7 linked regions of the Cricetulus griseus genome follow. The protein of the gene in region 2 purifies or fractionates together with the protein of the main gene of each other region. This does not show direct contact. Links are inferred from orthologs where the notes say so. Each region holds a gene or a part of one and is shown on either strand. Other genes may lie near its edges.

Evidence for each region.
Region 1: the proteins of Vapb (region 2) and Prkaca purify together in Homo sapiens (affinity purification with mass spectrometry; 4 studies listed by BioGRID and IntAct, with this or other methods). This does not show direct contact. The link is inferred for Cricetulus griseus from reciprocal best matches to the Homo sapiens genes VAPB and PRKACA.
Region 3: the proteins of Vapb (region 2) and protein FAM83G purify together in Homo sapiens (affinity purification with mass spectrometry; 3 studies listed by BioGRID and IntAct, counting the BioPlex papers as one, with this or other methods). This does not show direct contact. The link is inferred for Cricetulus griseus from reciprocal best matches to the Homo sapiens genes VAPB and FAM83G.
Region 4: the proteins of Vapb (region 2) and Ttc1 purify together in Homo sapiens (affinity purification with mass spectrometry; 4 studies listed by BioGRID and IntAct, counting the BioPlex papers as one, with this or other methods). This does not show direct contact. The link is inferred for Cricetulus griseus from reciprocal best matches to the Homo sapiens genes VAPB and TTC1.
Region 5: the proteins of Vapb (region 2) and Aftph purify together in Homo sapiens (affinity purification with mass spectrometry; 3 studies listed by BioGRID and IntAct, counting the BioPlex papers as one, with this or other methods). This does not show direct contact. The link is inferred for Cricetulus griseus from reciprocal best matches to the Homo sapiens genes VAPB and AFTPH.
Region 6: the proteins of Vapb (region 2) and Akap11 purify together in Homo sapiens (affinity purification with mass spectrometry; 3 studies listed by BioGRID and IntAct, counting the BioPlex papers as one, with this or other methods). This does not show direct contact. The link is inferred for Cricetulus griseus from reciprocal best matches to the Homo sapiens genes VAPB and AKAP11.
Region 7: the proteins of Vapb (region 2) and Rmdn3 purify together in Homo sapiens (affinity purification with mass spectrometry; 4 studies listed by BioGRID and IntAct, counting the BioPlex papers as one, with this or other methods). This does not show direct contact. The link is inferred for Cricetulus griseus from reciprocal best matches to the Homo sapiens genes VAPB and RMDN3.

What each region holds. Positions count from the first base shown.
Region 1 is NC_048596.1:160,443,328-160,447,372, forward strand, and holds the start of Prkaca (cAMP-dependent protein kinase catalytic subunit alpha), read right to left. Parts: upstream 2,801-4,045; 5' UTR 2,635-2,800; coding exon 2,589-2,634; intron 1-2,588.
Region 2 is NC_048599.1:5,230,273-5,233,498, reverse strand, and holds part of Vapb (vesicle-associated membrane protein-associated protein B/C), read left to right. Parts: intron 1-517; coding exon 518-598; intron 599-2,170; coding exon 2,171-2,347; intron 2,348-3,226. UniProt on the Homo sapiens protein: Endoplasmic reticulum (ER)-anchored protein that mediates the formation of contact sites between the ER and endosomes via interaction with FFAT motif-containing proteins such as STARD3 or WDR44.
Region 3 is NC_048600.1:75,700,702-75,704,884, reverse strand, and holds the start of protein FAM83G, read right to left. Parts: upstream 2,801-4,183; 5' UTR 2,726-2,800; coding exon 2,201-2,725; intron 1-2,200. UniProt on the Homo sapiens protein: Substrate for type I BMP receptor kinase involved in regulation of some target genes of the BMP signaling pathway. Also regulates the expression of several non-BMP target genes, suggesting a role in other signaling pathways.
Region 4 is NC_048600.1:58,410,263-58,414,381, forward strand, and holds the start of Ttc1 (tetratricopeptide repeat protein 1), read right to left. Parts: upstream 2,801-4,119; 5' UTR 2,687-2,800; intron 1,307-2,686; 5' UTR 1,274-1,306; coding exon 941-1,273; intron 1-940.
Region 5 is NW_023276807.1:85,786,905-85,790,404, forward strand, and holds part of Aftph (aftiphilin), read left to right. Parts: coding exon 1-1,765; intron 1,766-3,500. UniProt on the Homo sapiens protein: Component of clathrin-coated vesicles.
Region 6 is NW_023276807.1:232,898,098-232,902,050, reverse strand, and holds the start of Akap11 (A-kinase anchor protein 11), read left to right. Parts: upstream 1-1,153; 5' UTR 1,154-1,258; coding exon of another isoform or gene 1,259-1,288; intron 1,289-3,953. UniProt on the Homo sapiens protein: Binds to type II regulatory subunits of protein kinase A and anchors/targets them.
Region 7 is NC_048599.1:59,331,828-59,335,327, reverse strand, and holds part of Rmdn3 (regulator of microtubule dynamics protein 3), read right to left. Parts: intron 2,803-3,500; coding exon 2,610-2,802; intron 2,227-2,609; coding exon 2,083-2,226; intron 1-2,082.

The sequences.
Region 1 (4,045 bases), on a different chromosome or scaffold from region 2:
TCCTTTATAGCAGCCCAGGTTGGCTTCAAACTCAGGTCCTTCAGCCTCACAGTTCCTCTTTTGCTTGATAAAGTTATGAGTTGCTGTGCCTGTTTGATATTTTAAATTTTTTACATTTATGGTGTGTGCACACACACTCTTATGGAGGTCAGAGGACAACTTGTAGGAGTTAAGTTTTCCCCTTCCACCATGTAGGTCCCAGGAAAACAACTCAAGACTGGCATGCTTGGCAGCAAACATCTTTACCTGCTAGGCCATCTTGATGAACACAGATTTTATCTGTATTTTGATACAAGGTTCTGCTGTCACCCAATCCAGCCTTTAATTCCTGGGCTCAAACAATCCTGCCTCAGCCTCTTGAATCGCTGGTAGCACCAATATACACTATTATTCACAGTATGTTTTTATCATTTTAAATTAAGAAAGTATGGCTAGGGTTTAACTCCTGTGGAGGCAGCTTAAGAATGAATGAAGGCTGGACATGGTGATGCACGCCTTTAATCCCAGCACTTGGGAAGCAGAGACAAGCAAATCTCTATGAGTTTGAGGCCAGCCTGATCTACAGAAAGAGTTCTGGGTCAGCTGGAGCTACACAGAGAGACCCTTGTCTCAAAAGCTAAAACAAACAAAAGAATGTCTAAGTTGAAACATTCTGGGGTCCAAGAGATCTTTGGGTAGACAGATCTGGGTGTGAATTCTGCTGCATGATGTCATCTGTGTCAAACTCAGATGGCTCATTTGGACAAAAGTCATCAAAATAAGTCTGTCTACAGAGCCCATTTAAGTTAGCCCTCTTGGATGCCTGATAAACAGTAGCTGGATTTCATCCCAACAAAAACAGCTGGCCAACTCGGAGACTGATCTTTTTCTTGGACCCCTTTATCCTCTGTAGCTCTTAGTTTCTGCTGAATGTGTCTGATATGCTTGAAGCTTTTTCAGCACTATGTCCCCTCAGTTTTCAAAAGGCTACTGCAATATACACCCCACTGCCAGAACCATCTACCTCCTGGTGGGCCTCACCTGCCAAGGGGGATGGCCCTCCCCTTCTGCCTGGGCCCCTCCAAGCTCAAGTCCAAGACCTTTTTGGGCACTACCCACCTGCTCCTGTCATCAAGCCCTCAACTACAAGCACTTGCCTCTCCGTCCCCCGCCCATCAGTGACATGCCAGGCCTCTTTAGACTGCCCCGCTGTTTGAAAGGGGGGAGGGGCAGAAAGTTCTTGGGCTTCGGTGGCATTCTGGGGACTCAAACACTGAGAAGGGCAGAGCTGGTCACAGCCCCTCCCCCCTTTTGGTGGGTCTGACTATTTCTGGGTAACTGAAGGGGATCTGCTTTAGCTTAGAATTACACCACTTTAAGAGGTGAGAGCATTGGGAACAGGCACAAGGTCCTTCTGAAGGCATTTCAAATACAGAATCAGTTTCTTTACCTGGCTGGAAAAATTCAGCATGTTTGGGGTGGGGAAGGGGGGAGTAGAACACACCTCCCTTTGGATGAGTCCAGGGTATGCACAGTATCCATCTGTCCTCAACAAACCAAATCATTAGCTGTCACCTTTTGCTGGGTGTCGTTACCCTACCCTTGCAATTCCTTTCTGACCATCCCAATTCAAGTCGAATGAGCCCTTGCTAACACATTTCATTCTCAGCCTTGAACCAGGCAGAGCGAAACAGTCCCAGGGACTGGGTGAATGACAGAACTGCAGTTGTGAAACGACCATTTATTGAGGGGCCTTCCAAGGAACCCAGAGCTTAGGGCAGGCCAGGAGATGGGAGGGTGCTCTGCCGATTTCCCCCACCCGCAACCCAAGAAAGAGGACAGACGCAATGGCTCTGAGCGAGACCAGCTAGAACTTGGATCTGGAAGCGCAGAAGCAGCTCTCTAGGTTCATAAACAGTCTGCCCACCCCAGCCAGGGCCAGACGCTTACATGGAGGAGGCAGAGTGACAGGATGAGAGGGGCAGAGGGACCCAGAAAGATCTTGTTCCCCATGCCAAGTGACACAGAAAGGGGAAAACAATGCAGGAGGTGGTCCTGGGAAACGCTCATGGGGCAAGGGGGCTTGGAGATGGGAGAATCGAGCAGGGATAGGAGAAAGATGGCGGGGGCTGGAGGGGGAGGGGTGTGGTCACCAAGTAGCTAAGGTCCCTGCAGAGTGGACCCCACAGCACTCCCGAGATTGGCAGGAGGCTGGATCAGGGTCAGGCATTGGGGCGCTGTGTGGAAAAGGTGAGTGACGAAGTGTGGGGGGATTAGAATATGGGGAAAGGGACTAGGAGAGGAGGGGGTGGGGTGGTGACAGGGCCCCATCTGGGGCCCCGGCGGTCATGCATGCAATGGTTGGCAGTGACAGCTGGGTGGGGGTGCACGGCCTTTAACGTGGGGGATGGTCGGCCATGGGCACGGGAGCCCTACCAGGGGCAAGGTTCCTCTGCGGTGCTCGGACCCCAGCGTGGACAGGCAGCAGGCAGCAGGCAGGGGTGCAGGCGGACAGGATGGGGGGGCACATGGGGGAGGGGCCATGCAGCGATGGCCAGAGCGAGGGCAGGCCGCAGCAGCCGGGACTAGGGTGACGGCCGGGAACTCACCGCTCTCCTGCTCGCTGCCCTTCTTGGCGGCGGCGGCGTTGCCCATCGCGGCGGCGTCGCGGCCGGGACCGGTCCCGGAGCTGCGGCGCGGCGGGTGCTAAGGCGGCCGGCGTCCCCGGAGCGTGCTGGGCAGCGGAGGCGGCGGCCCCTGGGGCTGGCTGCGCTGGCTGCGGCGCCACGACCCCCGCCCAGCCCCTGCTTCCCGCGTCTCTCTGCGCCCGCCCGCGGGGGAGCCTCAGCCCAAGTCCTCTGTCCGTGACGCCCCCGCACCCCGCCGCCCATTGGTTCAGGCCTCCCTGACAGACAGCCTCGCGCCGTTGTCCATTGGCCCTCCGAAACCTTCCCGCGCTACCATAGGCTCCCGGATGCTTGACGCGAGCTGCAGACGCTCAGCCACTCACGGGCTCGCGAGGCCGTAGTCGGGCGGTCGGATGCATGTGATTGGCCGAGAAGCCCAACAGGGCTTGGGGCTCGCCCTGCGAGGCCGCCGATTGGCTGAGGCGCGCGGCCTCAGTCAGTGTCAATCCCAGGGTGAGAGGGCGGGGTAGCTGCGCAGGCTGCGGCCCGGGGGGGCAGGCGTGCGGGCGGGGCGGCGGCTGGAGGGTAGCCGGGCGGCAGACGCTGCAAGGTGCGGGAGGCGGCCCCAGCGGACGCCGGTGCGGCACCGTGAGCCCTGCAGTCTCCCGCCCTGCCCAGTGCGGCAGCGGCCACGGGCCAGCGGAGGTTGACGCCACGGCGGGCCGGCGCAGAGGCTTGTCCACCTGCCAGCGGGGGAGGGGCCGACTGGCGCCGCGGGTCAGAGGTCGCCGGGCGCCGTTCGGCGTCATTCATAAGGCCTGACGCTGGGCGGCCGTGACCCGGCCAGCTCGGAGTTCTCCTTGTTTGCTCTAGCCACAGCCGGAGCTGCAAGAGGATGCTGGATCCAAAAGTGAGGGCAGGCTGGGAGGAGACTCTTAATGTCCCGTTTACTGTGGCCCAGCCTTAGGCCCCTGAAAAGTAATAACGAGGACACTGGCCAAGTACATGACTTCTCGTTCCCAGCACATTGGAACTGTCACACTCCCATTTGATGGAGGAGGAATGGTGAGACTGGTTCCTTGCTCTAGTCCATTTGCCTGGACATCGCTATCTGGAACCTGCCCTCTGGGGACAGGCAGGGAGCCATTCTCGTTCCTTCTGGATGCCCATCTTTAAATTTTGTTTTCATGCAATGCAGGGGTTGAACACAATGCCTACCAGCTGCTAAGCAAGCATTGTTCCTTGCCCAGGGTACTCTTTCAAGTCTGTGCTGCCAGAACAGGGTCAGTTTCCCACTGTGCCACTGACATCAGGGGCCTGAGCACTCTGCTGGAGGGGTCTCCTACACACTAGTTGGTGTTCAGAACCCCCACCCTAACACACTGGATGCTGGTATACTTCCATCTTCCTGCTGCCTGGAGCAACATAAATCATCTCCA
Region 2 (3,226 bases):
TCAACCCCTTCCCCGTGTCTAGAAGGGGATATTAGTGAGGAACCTAGCCCTCACTGGTGGGTGGGGGTGGCGTGGGCAGGGCCATTCTGATGCAGTAGTGGAATGGCTCTGTGGTGAATGGGCCCCACTGGTGGTTGACTGGTCAGCCAAATCCTCCTCCTCCAGCTCTTTAGGGAGTGGGTACCCTGTCCTTTAGATTCCAGTTCCTTAAGGAGAGAATGCTTCCTGGACCTGTGCTGCCCATGAAGTAGAAACAGGCAAGCTTGGGCAGGCGGCCCTAAGGAGCCAGGCAGCAAGACTGCAGGGTTTGCAAAGTGTGATAAATATTCAGGAGAGCGAGTGCATTTAATCTTGTCATGTTAAAAATATTGAAGTCTCAGCAGACTTAAGTTCTTTATTTGATATACATCAGGGCTTTCTCATTAAGAGTATTTTTCTGAAATTGTCAGTTATAGGAGGAGAATTATTCTTCCAGCAGCTTGATAATACCCTGATTATTAAATTTAAATTGTTTTAGTGGAAGGAGGCAAAGCCGGAAGACCTTATGGATTCAAAACTTAGATGTGTGTTTGAATTACCAGCAGAAAACGCTAAACCAGTAAGTATGTCTCCAGTTAACAGTAATCGAACGTTGCAGGCAGACACTCATTTGCATGCCATCTCCTGTGAAACAAAGATTTAAACTGGCAAATTATTTTCCTCCCTCTAATGTATGAAGGAAAAAAATCAGCTGAAGTCAACAGATAAGCTGGTATTATAACATCAACCTTGGCAAAGACTTGCAGAAAATGGCCAACTGAAATAGTTTCCCCTTGAGCAGAGTAACCTGTTAGCAGCTGCAGTCAGAATCCCAGGGAGTCTTTGCTTGGTGAAGTGGGGAGACCAGAATGGGGTGATTGGCCCTTTTTCAGGGCGCTCAGACAGGTGGTAAACTCTCAGAGCATCCTGTCAGTATTCCCCTCAGCATCTGCTCCCCACCAACTCCCTCAGTGCCGGTCCTCCTTGAGATGAGAGTCTCTTGGCCTCACTGTTGTTGGCATGTGTTTACATCCTGTGCCGTGTGGGATATTGAGCACCGAGCACCCACTGTCCCAGACCCTGCTCCCTAGACACTAGCAGTACCCCCAGATTTTCATGGAGGTTGTTACACATCTACTGCCCCAATCTGGGCCCTCACTGGGGACCAGCAGAAGACAGGAGATGGTTTTTCAAATACTGATGTACACTTCCCTTCAAAGTAGCCGGAAAAGGTAAAATTGTGTCAAGAAGTAAGAACCGTGGGTGATCTTTAGGTCTCTGCCAGTGATGGACGGAGCTGGGAAGGCAAGGCACGCTACAGTGTCTTTACACATGACTGTGAGGAGCCCAAGAATGCTGTTGGTTGCTGTCAGAACTGCCTGGTTTCTTCTGCTCTATCATCAGCTACAGCCATCTCTGGTTATTTGAATCAGAGAGAACATCACCCTGTTGTAGGAAAGTTAGAAGCAGGGAACATGGATCATGACCCCCAGCCCCCTGATAATTGGGCTCCAGCCTGGACTCTGGCCTCCAAGGCTCTCCCTTCTGTGGGAGGTGAAGGGGGCTGGAACTAGGTGTCTGATTTTCAGATTGCCACCCAGAGCCTCAGGCCACCATTCTGAGTGCTCCTAGCCCTGCTTCCACTGACTGGCTCATCCTCCAAGAGGGTACCATGACTCCTTTTATGCAGGGGAACACATTTGGCCTTCAAAGCTTGTTCGTCCTCATCCCTGCTTGTAAGGTGGTCCATGTGTAGTCCTCTCTAGGCCTCCTACCTCCCACCCCCAGCGGCCTGGGATGCTCAGCTCTCCTGCAAAGGTAATTTGCAGCTGATAATTCCTGAGCTTGCACAATTGCAGTATGTTAATTTTTGCATGGCAGGAATTTGATAGTGCAGTGTGCACAGCCCTTTTCTCCTCCTTGAAGTATTCGCCTCAGCCCAGCTTCATTATTTGCCCTTATCCATAGTTTCTAGGGCCTGGTAGCTTTAGATTATCAAGATACTAGATAAAGTGATGCATTTAAAAAATAAATGTGACATTTTACAGTGTGGATGGAATGCTACCTCATGTACTGTGTACTGAGAAATACTTTGCATAAAATCCTTGCTCACATAGTTGGTGACCCTGGGCTTTCCTTTGTTTCTGAGCAGCACGATGTAGAAATAAATAAAATCACACCTACAAGTGCACCCAAGACAGAAGCACCGGCAGCTGCCAAGTCCCTGACGTCGTCCCTCGATGACGCCGAAGTGAAGAAAGTGATGGAAGAGTGCAAGCGGTTGCAGGGGGAGGTGCAGAGGCTGCGGGAGGAAGGCCGGCAGCTCAAGGTAACGCCTGCTCGCCCGCCCGCTCGCCCTTGCTGAGCAGCTTCTGTGGGCAGTGTGGGTTTGGTGTGCTGTTTTGCATTTACTTCCCCAGGAGACTCACCTGCAGAGCTTTCTTTTGGGGCTCCTGAAAGGGTGTTTGGATTGTACCTGCCCAACTGTTGTTTTCCTCAGAGCCAGACCCATCCCCACTCCATTTGTCTAAGTTGAGCCAGCTCTTTGAATATTCACTGTCAGACCCCGCTTTGGCCAATCCCTTGGGTGGTCTTGGTTGGGGGCCAAATCATACTATATATTTTTTTAAGATTTTATTTATTTATTATGTATACAACATTCTGCTTCCATGTATATCTGCACACCAGAAGAGGACACCAGATCTCATAAGGGATGGTTGTGAGCCACCATGTGGTTGCTGGGAATTGAACTCAGGACCTCGGGAATAACAGTCAGTAATCTTAACCTCTGAGCCATCTCTCCAGCCCCCATGCCCATACTATTTTAACACAGGGAAATGAGTTTTGAAACCTCTGATGTGGGTCCGGGCAGTAGAAGCTCCTCAGGCTGCTTGGTAACAAGAAAGCACGGTGTTGGCCCAGTAGAGAGGTGGAGGTGAGAAGGGGGAACCAAGGCATGCATCTGGCCAGGCTGTGCTGGGGAGGTCAGACACCCTCAGCCTAACAACCTATGTTGCCGGCTATACAGTTTGCATACAGTCTTGTCCACTCTAGGCCCATTTCTTAGGCCTGTTTGTTGAGTGTCTCTCCGGTTGCCTTCTAGCTTGAGAACTGTGGATCTGTCTGTCTTGGATGTGGATATATACCCGGGCATCTGATTATAGGAGCTTTTGTTGCAGCTTAAATTTTGAGGCCTATTTGTTCTTAA
Region 3 (4,183 bases), on a different chromosome or scaffold from region 2:
AACCCTAGGAAGCTGGGGTTCCCCTAGCACTGGCATAGGGTAAAAAGGGGAGGTGGGTGACAGGGGCAAGAGGTGACTCATGGTGAGAGATAAGACCGAAGAGCTCCTACAGGGAGGAGCAAGGAGAGGGCGGGCAAAGCGCTCTGTCAGCATCCATTGGCGTCTGGGCCTGCCTGAGGAGGCTGGGAAGCAGCAATAAGGAGGTGAAGACTCAGACTACTGAGGTCAGCTGCCTCTCCCAGGTCCTACTTGTCACTGCTCTACTACCAGGTGCCACACCAGAGTAGGTCCTGGAGTACAACAGGCCTAAGAGATCTTGGGCAGGAAGGACTAATCAGTCGGGCCTCAGTTTTTACATGTGAAAAAAGAGGCAGATAACACTACCTGAGATTATAAAGTGCTCGCACTCCACTGAAGCTATTATTACAGCCTTCCCACGTATTGTGTGGGCCACAGGACAGAGATGGGGGTACAAGGACTCACACAGGTCCACAGGGAGTGGCCTGTAGGGCTCAAGACAGCACAGTAGGGCTGTGAACAAATCCTTGATCTCTGTAAGATGGCCGTGGCCTCTGTCAACTCTAAGGACCCCTGGGGACTCCCTGTTGTGGGGAACAGACTCCAAGTGTGGGAAACAGAAGGCAATACCTCCCCATGATAGGCAGTCAGAAGTAACCCACTACAGTGCCACATAGACGGGGCTCACATTAAGATCAATGTCTTCCTGACTGTCACCCTTGACAGGTGTCACCAATAACCTTGGAGAAGCGGGAATGGATGAATATGAAGCTATAGGTGTGCGGAGGGTGTATACATCTTAGCTGTGGTCACAAGGATGTGGACAGGAAGCCCTAAGGGTACACTGTGGCCCCAGGCACCCCTATCTGTCCCTATCACTGGCTGGCCCTATGTCATTCTGTCTGCAGAAGATTAGAGCCTGTGGCTGTTCCCAAGCCAAGCTGGAAGGTGGCAGCTGCCTCCTACCTGCTGTGAGAGGGCTGGCACAGCAGGGCAGGCCCCATTCAGAGTCTTTATTCCTCCTCTCAAGGGACTGGGCTCTGCCACAAGTGGAAGTCACCCCAGGCCCTTTTAGGAGCAACAGATTCTCAGCTATTGTCAAATATCCAGAGGATTATCCAGTCCTTCCTCATTCCTGTTACCCAATACTCCATCATCACAATGGCCAGAGATGCAGTTTGCATCTACAGACTAAAAACCCTCAGCTAGTGGCCCTGTGGACGGAGCCTCCACCCTGCTGGAAACCAGCCAGGCCACCTTCTCAGCTGCTGACCTACTTCTGGTCTCTCTCTGCCCAAGAGCTCCCCAGGACCTGTCAGCCAGGACAGTCCCCAGGGCGAACATCTGTCATGTACACTGCTCCATTCTGAACCTGAACAGTAAAGGGGTCAGACCCAGCTAGGAACACTCTCACTACTACCAGACCTGCTCCAGATAGAACAGTTTGCTGGACTACCTTGCCTGTCAAATCAGGCACGCCTCCACTCACAGCCACGGCCAGCCACCCAGTTATGGTTTGGCTGTGTGTACAAGCAATGTACACTGCTTCTCAGGATGTGTGTCAGTGTGTCAGTGTGGAGCAGTCACCCATAGCCTGGGCACTGTGTAGCCCAGTGGATGTCAGGTAAGAGGATCCAAACAAGGCCCTAGAAGCCTCCTAATGACAAACCACTAACCAAGTAGACATTGTCACTTCTTCCACTGGTGGGAACCTTCAACAGGTGGCACCCTGTTCATTCAGACACCCTGGCCTGGACAGAGGCTGCTACTCCAAGTGAAGCTGAGCAGCTCGTGGCCAGCCACTCAGCGTAGCTAGGAAGCAGGCAGATTTTCTCAGGGCCCCAGACCAGCCTCCATGCCTCTCCCCAAGTCCCCTTCCTGCAATCTCATGTATGTGTGCGAGCTTCTATCTTCTAGCATGTCTGAGGCAAGGCAAGGAAGAGTGGGTGAGAGAGAAAGCTCAGATTCCTCCCACCCCACTCAAGCATTGCAATTTGAGAAGCTCAGAAACACTCCAGTAAGGCACCTTAGAGTCTGGAAGCCCAGTGCCGCCTGCTAGAGAGGAGGTGGGCATTCGGCTGCTGCCCACGGAAGGAGGCAACTAAGAAGCCGGTCAGTGGTCCCAGAGCCATCTGGGTCCCCATGCGTGCTGGGTGAATGGGGTCCCTCCTTGGCGCCTCACCTTCTGCGCCTGGCTGATCATCTTGCGTACCACTTCCTTGATATGCGGCTGTCCGTCGATGGGTGGCTGCATGTAGACACTGGCCCGGGTCACACCTCTGTAGGCGATGGTGTCAGGCCAGCCTAGGTCCAGCTGCGGGATGGAGCGGTCCGACTTCTGGGGCCAGTACTCCAGCGAGGGCAATGGCTCGGCCGTGGCTGGGGGTCCTCCCGCAGCGCTGGCATCCTCGCTGGCATCCACGCCTCCGTTGTCCTGGGGCTCGGGACGGCGGCCCGAGCCCCGCGGGTCCTCGGAGCCCGGGTCGTACACCTCGATGGTCTCCACGATGCGCGCGAGCTCCAGCTCCGATAGAAAGTCGCGGATGTTCTCGCGCTTCAGCACCTCGTAAAAGGCGTCGCGACCGCGGGCCACCAGGGCCTCCAGGGCCAGCCGCTGCTCCTCGCTGTAGAAGAACTCGGGCTTCGACTCGCTAGAACGCCAGTTCACGTGGTTGTCATCCAGACACTGCACCTGGGAGAAGGCCATGGCGGCCCTCGATGTGGGAACGCGGCCCGACGGGCACCGCGCTCTCGGGCTTCACGGTCTCAGCGCCTCTGCGAAACCCACCTGAGGGAACCAGCAGAAGACCGCGGACCGGGTCAGAGGGCGGTGTGGGCGGGGCGGGCCGTGTGGGCGGGGCGTGGGGAGGGAGCCTGAGTGTCTAGGTGCGGCCGAGCGCCTCCGCGCCTTGGGATCCGCCTGAGGTTTGCGGAGCCCTGGCAATAAGCTGGGGCTGCCAGGGAACCCCGTCCCAGTTTGGAGCAAAAGCAGGGGCCCAAGCCCGGGTCGGGTTTCGGGAAGGACGGCTCACAAACCCGGAGGCCTGCCCGGAGGAGGGAGTCGCTTACCGGGCAGGTGGCGCCGTGCAGAGCGGGCGACGCGAGGAACGACTGGCAGTGGTAGTGGCAGCGGGCTGGACGGCCGGTGACTAAGGGCGGACCCGCCCATCCCCTCCGCTCTCACCTGGGGTCACGTGCGGCCCCGGGGGCGGGGCCGGAAGCTGATTCATCTCCTCAGACAGTGCAAGGTTGGACAGTTTGCTGCCTCAGGCCTCACAAGATACCTTCCTCCGCCCCCCCCACTTCTACTGGTGATCCGGATCCAGTTCTAGCCCAGTTCTGTCGTCTCGCAGGTGGGATGCTCGGCTATCCAGTTGTTGAGAGTTGGGTCATGGGTCCACCTTCCGCTGCTCCCACACTCTCTTTTGATATGTGCAGAACTGGTGTAGATCAATCAGTCCTTAGCCTTCCTGCCTGCTGAGAGTCCCACTTGTCATGTCCCGGTGCACACCACTTGCCTAAGCCCTCTGGCAGGGAAGGGTGGAGAGGACCAGGCTGTGCTCAGACCCAGCTCTTGGCTAGGTGTACCCCAGCAATAGAGAATGTTGGGTCCACATCTGAGGGCAGGGTGTCAGGGGCAACTTGGCAAAACCCATTAATCCCTGCAGACAAATGGCTTCTTCCATGAAACTTTTAGCTCCAGGGCCCCAGGCCAACCCACCCACCAGCTCTGGGCCAAGATGGAGCTTGTTTGAGTCCCAATGGACCCTGGCCTTGTCCAACTGAGGACTGTCTTATGGCATTCTTGTATACCTCCAGACACATTGCCACTGTTCGTCATCCTATGAGGCCTCCAAGTCTCATCATGGATCACCAAGTCCAAGCCCTGCCCTCATTCACAGCAGGCCTTATACCATGTGAACACTGTGTTTCCATACCTGTCCCTGTTCCCATACCTGTTTGCACCCTTTCCCCCTCTAAGGTATCTGAATCACCCCCTTACCTCCCATTCCCAAGGAGCAGACAGAGGCAGTGCTGAGAGGCTTGGACTCCCTGCAAAACTGTGCTAGTCTTCAGTTTATCCTCTTGTTCTTACCACTGCAGAGTTCCTGGTTTCATTAAGGAACTTGGCCCTCAGGTTGAAGGCTCTTTATCTGTCTCTTGG
Region 4 (4,119 bases), on a different chromosome or scaffold from region 2:
GTTTCCTTCACAATGTGTTTCCTGATACTTATTGTGCTGTTACTTATCAGGTATTCCTGATTCACAACTCATATTTTGCTAATAAGTGATTAACAAGTACAATTCATATAACACAAATTCTAAATAAGTTTACAAAAAGTTCACTACAGAAATTTCAGCAACTTACTTTAAGAGTAATCATTTAAGAAAGACAAAGTAGAAGGTGGCAATCAAGATGTAGCTTAGCAGTAGAGCACCTGCCGGCATTTATAAGGACTTGGACTTGGTCTCTAGAGCCACAAAAACTCCCAAAATCTATACATCTGTGCAGATGCATGTTATAAGACCCCTAGGGTAGAAGACAGAGTTCTAAATACACAGGGAAAACCAAGCAACTTCTTTGTTAACTGACTGCTCAGTGCTTCCCTGTGCTACTGCCTTATCTCAGATCTGTCCTGGAGAAGCGGTTAGGACACAGATCAGGTGGTCTATTACACACTTTCATCCTCAAATACTTTTTCTTTAAAGTCAAGGGTCTCCATAAGTATCCCAGGTTAGTCTCTAATCTCTGCAACACTGAGATTGTAAGCCATGCCAATACTGTATTTATTTATAGTTAAGGTGGTTTGAACCAGGCTTTGGTTGTGCATGCCTATTGTCACAGCAAGAGAGGCAAAGGCAGGAAATGGGAGTTCAAATTCAGCCCGGAAAACATGGTCACGCCCTATCTTAGAAAACAAACAAACAAAACAATGAATTAAAATTTTAAAAGAGCTTTAAGCTAGGCAGGCATGGTGGCTCAGGCCTATAATCTCAGCATTTAGGGGGTAGAGTCGAGGGGATTGCTACAAGTTCATTCTACATACTGAGTTTCAGTCTAGCCAAGATGACACTGAGAGACCACATTTCCCAAAAGCAACAACAAAAGTGGCTTAAGAAGCAGGTTATGCATCACATTTACCTGTTTCTCTTCTTCAGGCATGTTTTTTTCCAGTTCAGTTAGGTATTCCTCATCTAGTTCAGAGGAACCAGACTCATCAGTGGCTTTGTCCCCCACCATCTGTGCCCCTGGCTGCTCCTCCTCGAAGGAGGCACTACAGTCATGAAAACATTCCTCTTCTCCATGGTCCTCCTGGGAATGGGCTCCATCATCCTTTAGTAGCTTGCTCTGGGAATGCTGGACCTTGGGATCAGAGACCTGGGGGCTGGCTGACTCTACTTCCTGAGAATCTGTAACTTTCAAACCATTGAACAGATCTTCGGGAACCTTACAGTTCTCTGACTTCTCACCCATGCTGAGTTCAGGGGGGGAGGTGAGGCTAAATGTCTGGAAAAAGGAAAAAAAGAATGTGTTATGTAATGATGGTTATATATATATATTCTTAAATTTCATATCACACCTAAAAAAAAACCTCTGCATTTAATCCCCAAACACAACTTAACTCCACTGGGTATCATTATAAACAGGATATTGTCTGGTGGTGGTGGTGCATGCTTTTAATCCCAACACTCAGGAGGCAGACAGGTGGATCACTGTGAGTTTGAAGCCAGCCTGGTCTACAGATCCAGTCCCATGGCAGACTCCAAAACTACAGAGAAACCCTGCCTCGAAAAACCAAAACCAACCAACCAACCAACCAACCACATAAAATAAATAAAAATAAGAACAGGATATCACCAAGTGTGATGGCCCATACTGGCAGTCATCATTTGAGAGATGGAGGCAGGAAATTCAGAAGTCCAAGGTCATCCTTGGCTACACTGCAAGTTTGAGGCTAATCTAGGCTACATGAGACCCGTATTAGCTCCTTCCTCCACCCAAAATAGATTATAATAAACCCACACTCAATGCCAATTATCATTTTAACTGATGGCTTTTCCTAGTCAAATATGGTATTGGTCTTATGACACTGATATTCCCACTTCCCACCGGTGCTGGAGACGGAATCTCAAACCTTATGGTGCTTGTAAGCCACTGTTTTAACCACGGAGCCACACCCTCAATCCATACTCTAAATTAAAAGACTGATTTTAATGTGACCCTACAACAAGCTGCTGTTTGCTGAGCAGCAAAAATTAGGCAGCAGCCAGAAAGAGTGGCAGGAAGAAAAAGAAAAGGTTCTAATCTTTGTCCAGAATAAATGATCAAGTCATCAACTGGAAACAACGAAGTCCGTCTGGGCCACCATCGCCACCGGAAGCCGGAGAATAAGTTTCTTGTGGAGACCAATATGGCATCTGTGCCCAAACTCTGCCCGTCAATTTAACCGAAATGCAAGCGGCATAGCCTAGGTAGCTAATTCTGGAAGGGGAGCCTTTGCGCAGGAGTTTTCACAGGGTTGCTCGAGGTGGGTCAGAACCAGGGATTGGAAGGGCTGGTTGTCAACCCTCACGGCGCAACTCTGCTGTCCAGACACTGACATTATTTGTCTGCGGTCGGGCCAGGGCGCCTGTATCTTTTTTTTTTTAAGTGACCTGGGTGATTGTAGTATATTAACCACCACTGCTCTAGAAGCTGAGTCAGAACCACCCCTCTGGTAAGCAGCAAAACCATGCCAATGACCCAGTGTCGTGTTTAAGTCCGAATTTGTCCTAGCCCGTACCAGGAACCTCTACACGGATGTCACTCCCCTCCCGGATCTGAGTCAAGGTTAGGAAGGCGCCTCCCCGCGCGATACCGCGCCTGTCCCCCTGCCACACTCCTCACCCCACGCCGCAAGACCCACGACGTTCTTCCCAAGCTCGTAGCTCTGCTTTCCACCACTCGGCCCTCGGAGACCTTCTACTTCCCCTCAGTCAGGTACACTTCCGGCCGCGCTCACCAATGGCGTCGTCGTTGGCAAAGCATTCTGGGAAATGTAGTGGCCAACTCGGAAAGTGAGCGGAAGTAGCTATGTGACGTCACCGTACGGCTCAGGACTATGAGCCACAGCTACCGTCTTGGGTTATGTCAAAACCTATTCAGCACAAATTGTTTTAAAAGTGAGTGCTCGTTGTTTTAAAAACGTCACTCTGGCGTTCCTTGTGCTAATAATGTGTAGAAGAATCCGAAAACGAACTTTATCTCCAAATAAACATTTCTCTCGAGTAGTTTCCTAAGTGACATTCAAGAGATCTGCTAGGAGAGTAACAGTTTATAACACTAACAATTGCATACGCTTTTTACTCATTTTCTCATGGTTGTACGGTGTTTTCCAGAGGCTGTCTTATGATACAGTGCAACAGAAGGCATGTAAAAACAAGTAGGTGATGCCAGCTGCTAGGTAAGCCCCTCTACCCAATGAAGCATAAACCATATCTCTGGCTCTAATCTGTATTTTTCTGACAAATAGGATTGTGAGGGGATGGTGAGATGATTCAGTAGGATAAGGTACTTGGCAACAAGTTTGATGAGCAAGAGTTTGATCACCAGGACCTGGGGAACCTAAAAAGGATACCACATAACTTAGTCTTTCAAATCCTTTAAATAATGTAACCTTAAAAGCCACCAAAACAGCTAGATGAAGTGGCTCATGGTATAATCTCAGTGCTTGAGAGGTGGAGGCAGGAAGATCACAGAAGTTTGAGGCCATCCTAGGTTATGTAGTAAGTCTGAGGTCATCCATGGCTACAGGGTGAATACCTAGCTAAAAAAAAGTGCTAGTAAAAACGTATTAGCTATGGAGACATTTTACTATGCCTGCTGTAATCCCATCTGCCTCCATGAAGGCAGAGGCTGGAGGCTGTTTCAGGTGAGCCTGCCTGGGCTATTGAGAGTTCACAACCAGACTGGGCATCTAAGTAAGACCATATGCACACAAAACAAAAAGTCAAAAATGGACTGAATTGAATAGTGCTTGCCCAAGCATGCATGAAGTCCTAGGTTTAATCTCCATCACTGAAAAGAGAAGGAGTGTGGGGGAGGAAAAAGGAGAGGAGGAGGAGAGGAAGAGAAAGTATGACTTAGATATTTAAGCAAGACTTCTTCAAAGACCAACTCAACTTTATGATGTATATATGCCTGTCTTTTTCTTAAGCACTCCACTTTTTTTTTGTTTCCTTTTAAACAGGGTCTCCCTATGTAGCCCAGGCTGGTTAGGGTTGTAGACCAAGTTGACCTCAAACTCACAGAGATCTGCTTGTCTCTGCCTTCAGATTGCT
Region 5 (3,500 bases), on a different chromosome or scaffold from region 2:
TCCTAAAGAAGACTTTGTACCTTCAAACCATTTTATGCCAATTCACAATTATTCAGAAAATGTAGATAGCCTTACGAGCTTTAAGTCCATTAAAAATGGTAATGATAAGGATATCACTGCTGAACTTTGTACTCCTGTGAAAAGTCAATCTGATGAACTTTCTACCACCAGCAAAGAGATGATTCCATCTAAAACTTCAGATCCTTCCATCGATGGCATGGAAAGCCCAGGAGATTTAAATAAAGTTGTGGTGCAGGGACCAAACACTGGACAGCCCAGAAGTTTCTCTCCAGGTGATTTTAGAACTGATCCGAACATTGTTCACCAAACCAAGCAATTAGAGAGCTGCAACGGTGAAAAGCCTCCTTGTCTGGAAATTCTAACAAATGGGTTTGCAGGTTTAGAAACTGTAAATCCTCAGGGAACAGATGACCTGGACAACATGACTGATTCAAAGGGATTGAAGCCTCTTAGCACTTGTGGCACTGAATGTGGTTTAGATTCTACAGCTAGTCTTACTAAGGAATTTGCAGATTTTGCTGCATTTTCCCAAACAGAAAGGATACAACTAGAAGAAATAGAATGTGCAGTTTTAAATGATGGTGATGCACTGACCATTCAGGAAAACAGCAGAATCAGCAGGGTCAATGAACTGAATTCTTTGAAGGATGTGTCTTTGGGTAGAAGCTTTGAGGATAAAGGCGTTACTGATGGAGAACATCAGGTCTATGTTTCAGAAGTGCATGTAGTAACTGACAGAGGTTTCAGTGTTGACAAACAAGACCTTCAAACACAGCAAAAGAATGAATTTTTAAATTCAAGAATTCAGTCTGAGACGTGGAGTTTGGTAGACTCAACTGAAAATTCAGAAGCCATTAGGAGGGACCAGTGTAAAAGTGAGGAAAATGATTTATTTGCTTCTAAATGTGCTGACCTATGCATGGATTCTATTAAAACTTCTGATGTTAATGAAGTTGATTCTTCCAAAGAAGGAAATAGAAAGTTTACTAATTCCAAAAACCCAAACCTTGATTCCACAGAAGAAAATGTTTTGGATGATTCGGCTGCAAGCATAAAAAATGGTGACAGTGGTAACGACTTTGTGACTTGCCATGATACCAATGAGGATGATTTTGGTGACTTTGGTACAGCCAGTGGCACCACTCCACCTTTTGTTACTAGTACTCAAGATTCAATGAGTGATGTCACTTTTGAAGAGTCCTCGGAGCATTTTCTACATTTTAGTGAACCAGGTGATGATTTTGGAGAATTTGAGGATACAAATGCTGTTTCTTGCCAAGAGGAAATGATATTTACTGAATCCAACCTAAAACAGACCTCTGATAGTTTATCAGAGGAAGATCAGTTGGCAGGAAAGTCTGCTGGAAAAGACAGTGAACCTGACTCAAAACTGGAAAATGGTCAAGACAGTGAATTTGGAGATTTTGATTCTGTGCCAAATACTCAAGACAGCGGTAGTGCTTTCCAAGACTCAGATGATTTTGCAGACTTTAGTTCAGCAGGTCCTACTCAAGCTGTAGATTGGAATGCTTTTGAGGATGAACAGAAAGATGGTTGTTCTTGGGCTGCCTTTGGAGATCAGCAGGCTACTGAATCCCATCATCGAAAAGAAGTCTGGCAGTCACATAGGACAGATGAAAATATTGATACTCTGGGAACCCCTAAGATGCACAGTGTCTCTTTAGCAACTTCCAAAGGAACAGTTGCTGGTGGCCATTTGCAGGATTCAGGCACTTCAGTTCAGGTATTTACTCATTTCCTCTGTTTTATATAACATGTTAATTGCTAGGGAGACTCCTAACACAGCTTTTAAAAATTAACTGAGTACCTGCTAAAGGAGTTTCTGTGTGAGATATGATATTTGCTGGCTGGATTTCTAGATTAGAGTTCTCACAACCTTTTGAAAAATTATAAAATTGCTATCATGGTGAATTTCTTAGTTAACAAAAACTCGTCGATTTAAACTATTTATAATAATGTTTATTTTAAATATTAGCCATTTTTCCTTTGGTTTTTATCTTTACAATAATTTTTTGAAAAGGTTAAGTCTTTTTTTTAACTTTAGACGTTAAAAAAATCAGTTAACTATGTCTCTTAAAAATTAAAGTGCAGTTTTGATTACAGGGAAGAGCTAATGGAATTTGAAACCTCATAATTTAACAGCCACAAAAAGATCTGGCATGAAATAAATAAGGTTTAGCCCTAGAAGAAGTAACTGTGGATTAAATTATTGTGGTTATATTAATTTATTTATAATTTCTTCTTTGTGTATATGTGTTTTTGTTTTGTTTATGACTATTCTTAGGGAGAATGTTTACTCCTAAGCACCTGTGTGCAATTCTTCCTGATTCATACTCTGTAAGAAAAGATTCATTAATATTTATTTTGATCTAAAATAGCCCCTCTAGTTGTATCTTGATATTATTGTTTCCCAGTCCTGAGTTGCACTCTATACTAGCTTTTACCATTACTCAGCCCAAGTAGTGAGGCATTCTCTTGAGAAAAAAACAAAAACAAGTCACTTCTTTATAGTGGTGATTGGTGTGGGACATCTTGTCCTTAGGCTTGGTTTTTTGTTGTTGTTGTTTTTTGGTTAGTTTTTTAAAGATTTATTTATTTATTATGTGTACAGTGTTCCGCCTGCATGTTGCCTGCAGGCCAAAGGAGGGCACCAGATCTCATTACAGATGGTTGTGAGCCACCATGTGGTTGCTGGGAATTGCTCAGGACCTTTGGAAGAGCAAGCAGTGCTCTTAACCTCTGAGCCATCTCTCCCGCCCCTTAGGCTTGTTTTTAATATTGATGCGGTCTATTATTTTTTCAGTTGTCTTTTGCTAAGAAATCCATTTTCAACTGGAAGTATCTCTGAAGTCTGTTAATTGAAATAATTATACTTTATTGCTTTGATAGCTTTGATACATGTGATATTACCAGTTGGTATTCATAGCTTCTCACTCATTGGCTTTGAGTATCTGAATAGTTGGTTTGCTAATTCAGTTATTACTTGGATGAGCTAATGTGCAGTATTACTATTTAATAATTTATCACTGAGGAAAGAGCCTTATAATTCTAACAACAAATTAACTGATTTTAATACAAAATGAAGACTTTTGCTTTGACCTAGCCCTTTCCCTATTTAGTTTCATTGCAGTAAAGTATAGGGTGACAGTGGTATTGGATGATCTTTAGTTTGTAGCCTTAGAACTTCTAACATCATCAGATAATAAATTTTTAAAATTATGACCACTTCAAATGGAAATTTCTTACATGTTGAGTTTATTTGTACATAACTTAATAATTGAATATATATGTATATATACATGCATTTACATAGATCATGTATGGGCTTCACTGGAATATGACATGTGATTTTGCATCTTGACAGCCTGTTGAAAACTATGGTTTGGGATAGTAAGTGAAAACATGTAGAAAAAGAATTTTGTTTTGTAAAAATAAAATGTAAGCTGCATAGCGAGAGC
Region 6 (3,953 bases), on a different chromosome or scaffold from region 2:
TTTTTTTTTTTTTAGATAATTGTTGGTATTTCCTCTTTTTGTAAGTCTTCAACGCTTGTCACTGTAGACTAGATTTCCAGTTCCTTTCTTGGTTAATTAGCTGTATGTAATCTAGCCTCTATTATCTTTCCAGTTTTATTTCCTGCCATTCAAATATGCGAGATTGGGCCCAATCTCGGGCCGGTGAAGTAGCCCTATTTTTTTTGCTAGAGCCGCTCTTTCTCTCCCATTCCTGTAGTGCTGTTACCCAAAGCACTGCTTGAATCTTTCCTCCCCCGAGGGCACCGCCCCCTAAGTAGAGGCTCAGTTGTAAGCATCATCAGATGGGGATGATTTGCATGTTGTGTTTAACACCTACAGATCTCTACAGCCTACACTATTTGTCTTCATCATACTGCAGTAGGCCACCTGGAATGATGCCTAAAAACGTGCAGGAAAATAGCCAAAAGCTTTTGAAGAGAAGGAGTGTATGGATGCGTCCTTTCTTTCTCATCCCTCTCCCCTGAAGAGGGCAAAACACATCAAAACTCTTCACAATGTCCTTGAGGAGGCCAAGCAACCTTGACCGCCCTGGTCCTTCCCATTGAAACGGGAGTCACACAGCTCGTTATCTGAGGCTCGGCTTCTTGGCGATCAAGGCCTAGTTCCCAATTTCGATGCCAGGCAGGGTGAGCGCTCGCCTTGGCCTGACTGGTGCCTGACGTGTGGTTTTGCCTGAAGATGCTGGGGACTGAACAGAGCAACTCTGAAGGATGGGCTGCAGCTGTGGGAAAGCAGCCCCAGGGAGGCGGGGCGACCCAAGGCCGACGGTCCAAGGCGAGAGAGCTGGGCTAGGGTGCTGGGCAGGACCAAAGGGTTAAGCCGTTTCCAAGGCAACGGACCAGGAAGCGCGCAAGACGTCAGCGGAGAGTTCGTAGGTCAGCTTCGCGTTAAAAGCTCCCACGGGCCGAGGGGCGGTTGGCCAATGGGAAGGGCGCCTCGGCGTCACGTGACAGGCGGCCCGCTGCTTTGCCCTCCGGAGCACGTGGGAAGGCTTTTATTTATTTATTTATTTATTTTAACCTCCCCCCCTCCCTTTCCTTTTGCGCGGGCTCGGCCACGGGGTCGTTCTCGCGAGAGGTGCGATCGCTCTCGCGAGAGTGAGTGGGCGGCGTGGGGAGGCGGCGGCGGTGGCGTCTCGGGCCGGGGCGGGCGAGGGAGGCGCCGCTGCGCTGCGCCTCGCGCCACCGGGCGTTGCGGGCCGTGACGGGCGGGTGACATGCCGGGAGCTGAGAGGCTGCGCCTCCGGGTGAGCGGGCGGGGAGCGGGCAGCCAGCGGGCGGGTCCAGACTGCGGCGGGCTGGCCGGCGGGCGGGCGGGCGAGCGGCGAGCGGGCGGGCGCTGTGGCCCTCCTGCGAGGGGCGCGGGCGGGAGGAGGACGGTGCACTTTGTCCGCAGCACAGCATCCTTCCCTGTCAGCGCCCGAGCCGGGGTCCCCGCGCTGCCCAGAGTTGAGGGGCCGCTGTTTGCATCGCTGTCAGCTCGCCCCCAGGCTGGCCAAGCTACCGGACAGATAGAAAATGTTCTGGCGAGACCACAGTGACAGTAGAGCCTAGAGCCCTGGTATGGCTGGGTGACAGTCGTTCACTCTGCTCACCTTCTTCATTAAACCCATCGGATGGAGGAGGCTTGAGGCGTTTGGTGGTGAGCAACACTGCCGAGACACATCGCCGATGGCCTTGGCGCATACCGGAATTTATATTCGAGGTTCTTGTCATCAGCTTTGTAATTAATTCGGTTGCTTCTGAAAGACGCCCGTTTCCTTTGCGTCTTCCCACCCACCGTGTTAGCAGCGTTATTGATGTCGGTACTCAAATTTGTTATATATCAGAATACTTGAAGCAGAGAGTATTCAGGAAAGATGGGAAGACGGAGTGTTTGTTTATGCGAAGATGATTTCGTTTTAATGTCTGAGCTTTTTTTTTTTGTTTTAATTTTTTTATTTTGTAAATGGCAGCCCAGTGACTGCTACGACTGATGTCATTTCAAATAGTGCCACCTAATCTTTCAAAATACGTGAGCACTTTTCAAGGAATATCCTGGTTATTCATACTCGATGTGTTGTTCTTCAGGAAGAACTGTGAACCATGGGTTGACAGTGATTTCTGCTGTCAGTAACTGACTTAGGAGACATAAAGGGCCGTTAGGGAATTGGGGAAGAAGTGGGTTCTCGCTCGAGCTGTGACTGACGTAGAAGGCAACAGAATTGCTTAGCTGATCAGAAAGGGAATTTGCAGTCTACACCGTGGCCAGACGTTTTTTCTTGATTGTTGCATATACTGCAGTCAAAGCCCCAGAACTGTAGTGAGATATTTTCTAGTCCTTTCTAGCTTCTGCATTCCAGGGCTAAGTCTAGAAGCAGAAGAAATCCTCTGGGAGAAAGGATGGTAGGTTTTATTGTTTTAATTCCATAGATTGAGTATCTGGAAAAGGAACTCCGCAGGTTCAAATCATAATGTAGCAGGTTGTGTAAAGGGAAGTTTCCAGTTATAAGTGGGGAATTTTAGCCACACAGGAAGACAAAGCTTAGGTGAATGGGCACAGGAGATAACATAAAGTTCTCTCCCGTTCATCTTGGCAAAGAGAACAACTATTTGTTGCTAGTCTTTCTGACCTTGTGGCCGGGGTTTCAGACTTTTAGGGCAATGGTTGCTTTGTCTTGTGTTTGATGAAAAGCAATTGGACTCACTTTGGATGGAGTAATTACTTATGTAGACTGTTTTTGTTGTTTTTTTTTTTTCCTTTTTTTTTTCTTTTTGTGAAGTGGCCCCAAGTAGTGAAAAAAAAAAATCCCCCACTTCAAGTGTTGAGCCAGGTTAGGAAACTCTAAGAGCCTAGCTCAAGTGTTAGTTGAGGGTATCCAGACTGGCACTGTTGGCACAGGGGATAGTGCTTTACAACTTTAAAAGCCAATGGGGCAGGTCCATGTATTTTCTTTTTTTCTGCTCATTCTGACAGAAAGAAATTAAAAGAACTTCCTGGAGCTAAGCATTTGGAATGTATGGACTATTGACTGGACGTGACAGGAGGAGGAAACTTAACAATTTTGTATTAGCCATTGCTTACTCTGTGTTTTTTCTTTGACCTTCCTTAATGGCTTGGGGATTATTTGGCTGCAAGAATCAAAAAGCCATTTGAATTAGCTTACTTGAAAAAGGCATTTGTCATACCGTTGGAACATTGCCTCCAAGGCCCAGTTTGTGATTCTAGCTCAGTGACCTGGGGACCAGAAAGTCTTCAGGATGAAACTCAACGAATTTTCTCATAGTTCTCTACTACTAGTTGCATGCCCTATTCAGTTTGTTAAATACTGTCCTCCTCTTGAAACCTCTTGGGTTTTGTGTCTCTGGTTTGCCAGATGTCCTCATCAGACCCACCTTGACTTTGCATGGAGGTTTCTAACAGACTTCAAGTGTCAGTTCTAAATGTCTCCGTATAGAGAGAATGTTGTGGTCAGCTTTCTACTTCTAGTTAAGTTGGTTGTGGGTGAGGTAGTAAGATGGGAATAGGAAATGGATAGTGGGGAGACATAGGTATGCCTGGTAGTTTCTAGGCCTTCAGCTTCTTAGAGTGCTACAGCAAGGTCTTTAAGACAGGGAAGGCCTGTAGACCAGGAGGAAGTGATAGCTACCTTTGGTGTACTGTAGTATCTCAAAGTTTGAGTTCTTCCCTTGAGCGCTGCATTGCACTTATCTTAGCTAGGTAGGGTTGTAGCTGGATTCAGTGGTCCCTTTTCAGGACAGATTCTCCTAGTTTGTAAGGTTGGGCAGGTTACTTTAAAACACTTTGCTTGGTGGGCATAATGATAACTTGAGAACTGTGGATTCCCACGTGTGAAGCAAATGGCAGGTACTTTGCAGAAATCTGATGGCTAGTGTCTGTTGCTGACTGTGCACTGGGCTTCTTGTGTGTTC
Region 7 (3,500 bases), about 54 Mb from region 2:
TCAAAAAAAAAAAAAAAAAAAGGACTAGTTCTACTAGCCCTCAAGTACACAATTAGAAATCAGACATCTAGACAACAACAATAATGAATAAAGGCTTGAATTCTACAGCAAGGTTCACTTGTTTGGGATAGGGTACTCATTAGTGGGCTGGGCTATGCAAAGCATATGTGAAGCCCTGAGTTCAATCCTTGGCACCAGAAAATAAAACAATTCTCATGTTTCAAAAGGCACCTGAGCAGAAATCAAATTTGCCATTAAGCAAGCATAGATGGTACACACGCCTTTAATCCCAGCACTCGGGAGACAGAGAGGCGGATCTCTGAGTTTGAGGCCAACCTGGCCTACAGAGAAAGTTCCAGGACAGCCAGAGCTACACAGAGAAACCCTGTCTCAAAAACAAAACAAAACAAAACCAAAAAAAAAAAAAAATCTGCCATTAAAGACCAATGGCAGGAATATGAGAAGGGATAGTAATTTTACTCTTTTTTTCTTTTTTTAATCCACCAGTCTCTGCCTTCCCAGTGCTGGGATTACAGGCCTGCACCACCACCACCCAGCTAGTAATTTTATTCTTAATTTTTGTAGGAAAAAAAAAAAAAAACCAAATGAGGGACTAGGAATGTAAGCCCATGGCAGAGCACTTGCTTAGCACATGGGAGGTCCTGGGATTGATCCCCAGCATGAAAAGGAAAATAGGAAGAAGCAGGAGAAAATAACAGCCCCCTAAACAAACAAGACTAAAGTAAGAAAACTATTACTGCACCTTGGGCCTTTCCTGAGCTGTGGCATCTCAGTCAATGGGAAGAACTCCCAAGGGCTACATGCCACAAATGTGACCATGGTAGTCCTACATGCCCTGAAGACCAAGCCACTCCCCAGATCACAGACTCAAACACAGCTGCAGATAAACCAGATTGTCAGGACAATGGGATTAGCAGCAGACAGGCTAAGTCTGCCCTTGGTCTGGGTGTCAAACCTCAATAATCTCAAGTTCCCCATCTGAGAAACAGAACCCAGGTCACAGGATTATCATGAGGATTAAGTAAAAAACACCGCTAAGGTGCTTAGCACAGTATCAGAGGAAGTAAACCAATGGTACCAGCCTTACAAGCTGCCTGCTAAAGAGAGGAATCTGCTCGGCAGTATCCTGAGAGGCTGATTTTAACTTCTAGTCAGCTCAGCCACTCTGACCTGACAGATCTTGGCTGTTCTCTGACCCAGTCTATTCCTTGAGGAGGAACAAAGGTCAACAGATCCACCCAGGAGAAAAATCAGCCTTTAAGTCTCGAAGACCAGCTGGGTGACTGGCACCACACTGTCCTTGAGAACAAAGATTCAGAACGGAGCTATGGCTTAAAGTTAAAAAGCCTTTCCCCTGACCACTGCTGTCTCACCTCATGGTAAATCCTATATCAGATCTGCTGAGCACCTGAGAGTCACTTCCCCACTGTACTGATGCAAGGGAGCATGGACCAGACTGCCTGGTGAGGAGAGTGACGCCTGGGGAAAGGGAGGGCATGGCAGGCCTACAGCCTGGGCACACCCTGCTCCACCACTCAAAGAAAGAAATGAAGTCATAAAATAATGTTTAGGAAGCCCTTGTGATGACACAAAAAATGCCCATAAAAAAAATGATGGAAAAGAAAAAAAAAAAAAAGCCCTAGGCTGGGGAGATGGCTTAGCAAGTAAGAGCACTTGCTACTCCTTCAGAGGACCCAAGTTCAGTTCCCAGAACATACATGGATGGCTGCTTACAACCGTTTGTAACTCTGGTTCTAGGGGACCTAGTGCCCTCTTCTGACCTCTGCAGGCCCCAGGGATACAAGCAATGAACTTATATGCATAAAATTAAAAATAATATAAAAAGGCAACTCAGAGAAGTAGTGGATGTACAACGTAACAACTGCTAGCATTCCTGTTTGTCTGAATGGCATAATCAGGGATGTTGTTTCCATTTAGTCATACCCCTACTTTTATTCAAACATTATTTCTGGCACATTGGTTTGGATTTTGATAAATAATCTTTTGACAAGTCTAATGCAGCTGCAGCTGTAACTGCCTCGGGAGAGGCCGGCCACTCACCCTCCTTCACTCTCCGCATCTGTGAATGCAGCCCCTGAGGAGGCGGTGAAGTAGATAGAGCTGGAACCAGTGGAGTCACTCCTCTCCCTGGAAAACGGGAAGCGGCGCCGCCGAGCCACTCTCTGGTTCTCTTCTATATGAGATCTGGAAAGCAGGTCACATCCCAGAGGACACATTAGGACCCATATAGTCTGTCTCCCCTCACTCCTCCCTCAGTAAAGGACCAAGGAAGGAGAACACACTAGGTCTTTACTCTCAGGAGAGCAAGGGAGCCACCTGCTTGGCAGACTAAATTAGGAAGAACAAAGAGGTTGCACTGCTACAGTAGACCAAAGGGCACAGGGGCAGCAGACACTTGGGAAGGAGAAGGAACCAGATACGCAGCTTCTTCCACATTGGGTTAGCAACAATAAAACGGGCTTGTTCCTTAGAGAGACCAGAAAAGGCAGAACACACTCCAGCTGAAAAAGCTGTGGGAGCCAGGAATAGTTGAGGGACTGGGCAAAGCAAAAGACCAGGTCACTCACCGGACTTCCCCAACAATCTCCCCAGCCAGGCCTTGCAGGCCGCTCCGAAGCTCCTCTACCTCCCGCCGCAGTGCCATAAGACTGGTCAGCACAAAGTCCAGGCGGTCGAGCACCTTCTCCTGTCCTTCCTGTGGGAGGCCGGGCAGCACTGCAGCATCTCCAGCTTCACCTGGGATGGCCCGCAACTGCATAACTGAAGCAAGGGGAACAGGAGACAGAGACATCCATGGGATGTGTGTGTGTGTGGGGGGGGGGCTCAAACCTAGAATTCTAGAGCATTTACTTCTCTTATTCTGTTTTGTTTTTAGACAGGGTCTATGTAGCCCCAGCTGTCCTGGAGCTCACTGTGTAGACCAGACAGAGATCTACCTGCCTCTGCCTCCCAAGCTGTGAGTTTAAAGGCATGCAACACTATGCTGGGCCATTTGCTTCTCCTGAAGTTCAATTACAAAGAAGTAATTGAGCACCTAAGAGCATACATTTCACAGCTAAGTCACAGTACAAGTTCCAAGTCACTATCCAGAAGGAAAAAGAAAGAAAGAACGGAGAAGTCCAGACCAACAAGATGACTCATAGGTAAAATTACTTGTTGCTAAGGCTGTTGACCTAAGTTCAAAGCCCAAGTTCCACATGGTGAGGGAGGGAACAAACACTTGCAAGTTGTCCTCTGACCTCAAACAGGAGTGCTGTAGCATGTGCCCACTGCACCCTACCTACACACAGGTGTGCATAAATACACACACACACCCCACCTACACACCAGTGTAGGTGTACATACACACACACACACACACACACACACCACCTATACACCAGTGTAGGTGTACATACACACACACACACACACCACCTATACACCAGTGTAGGTGTACATACACACACACACACACA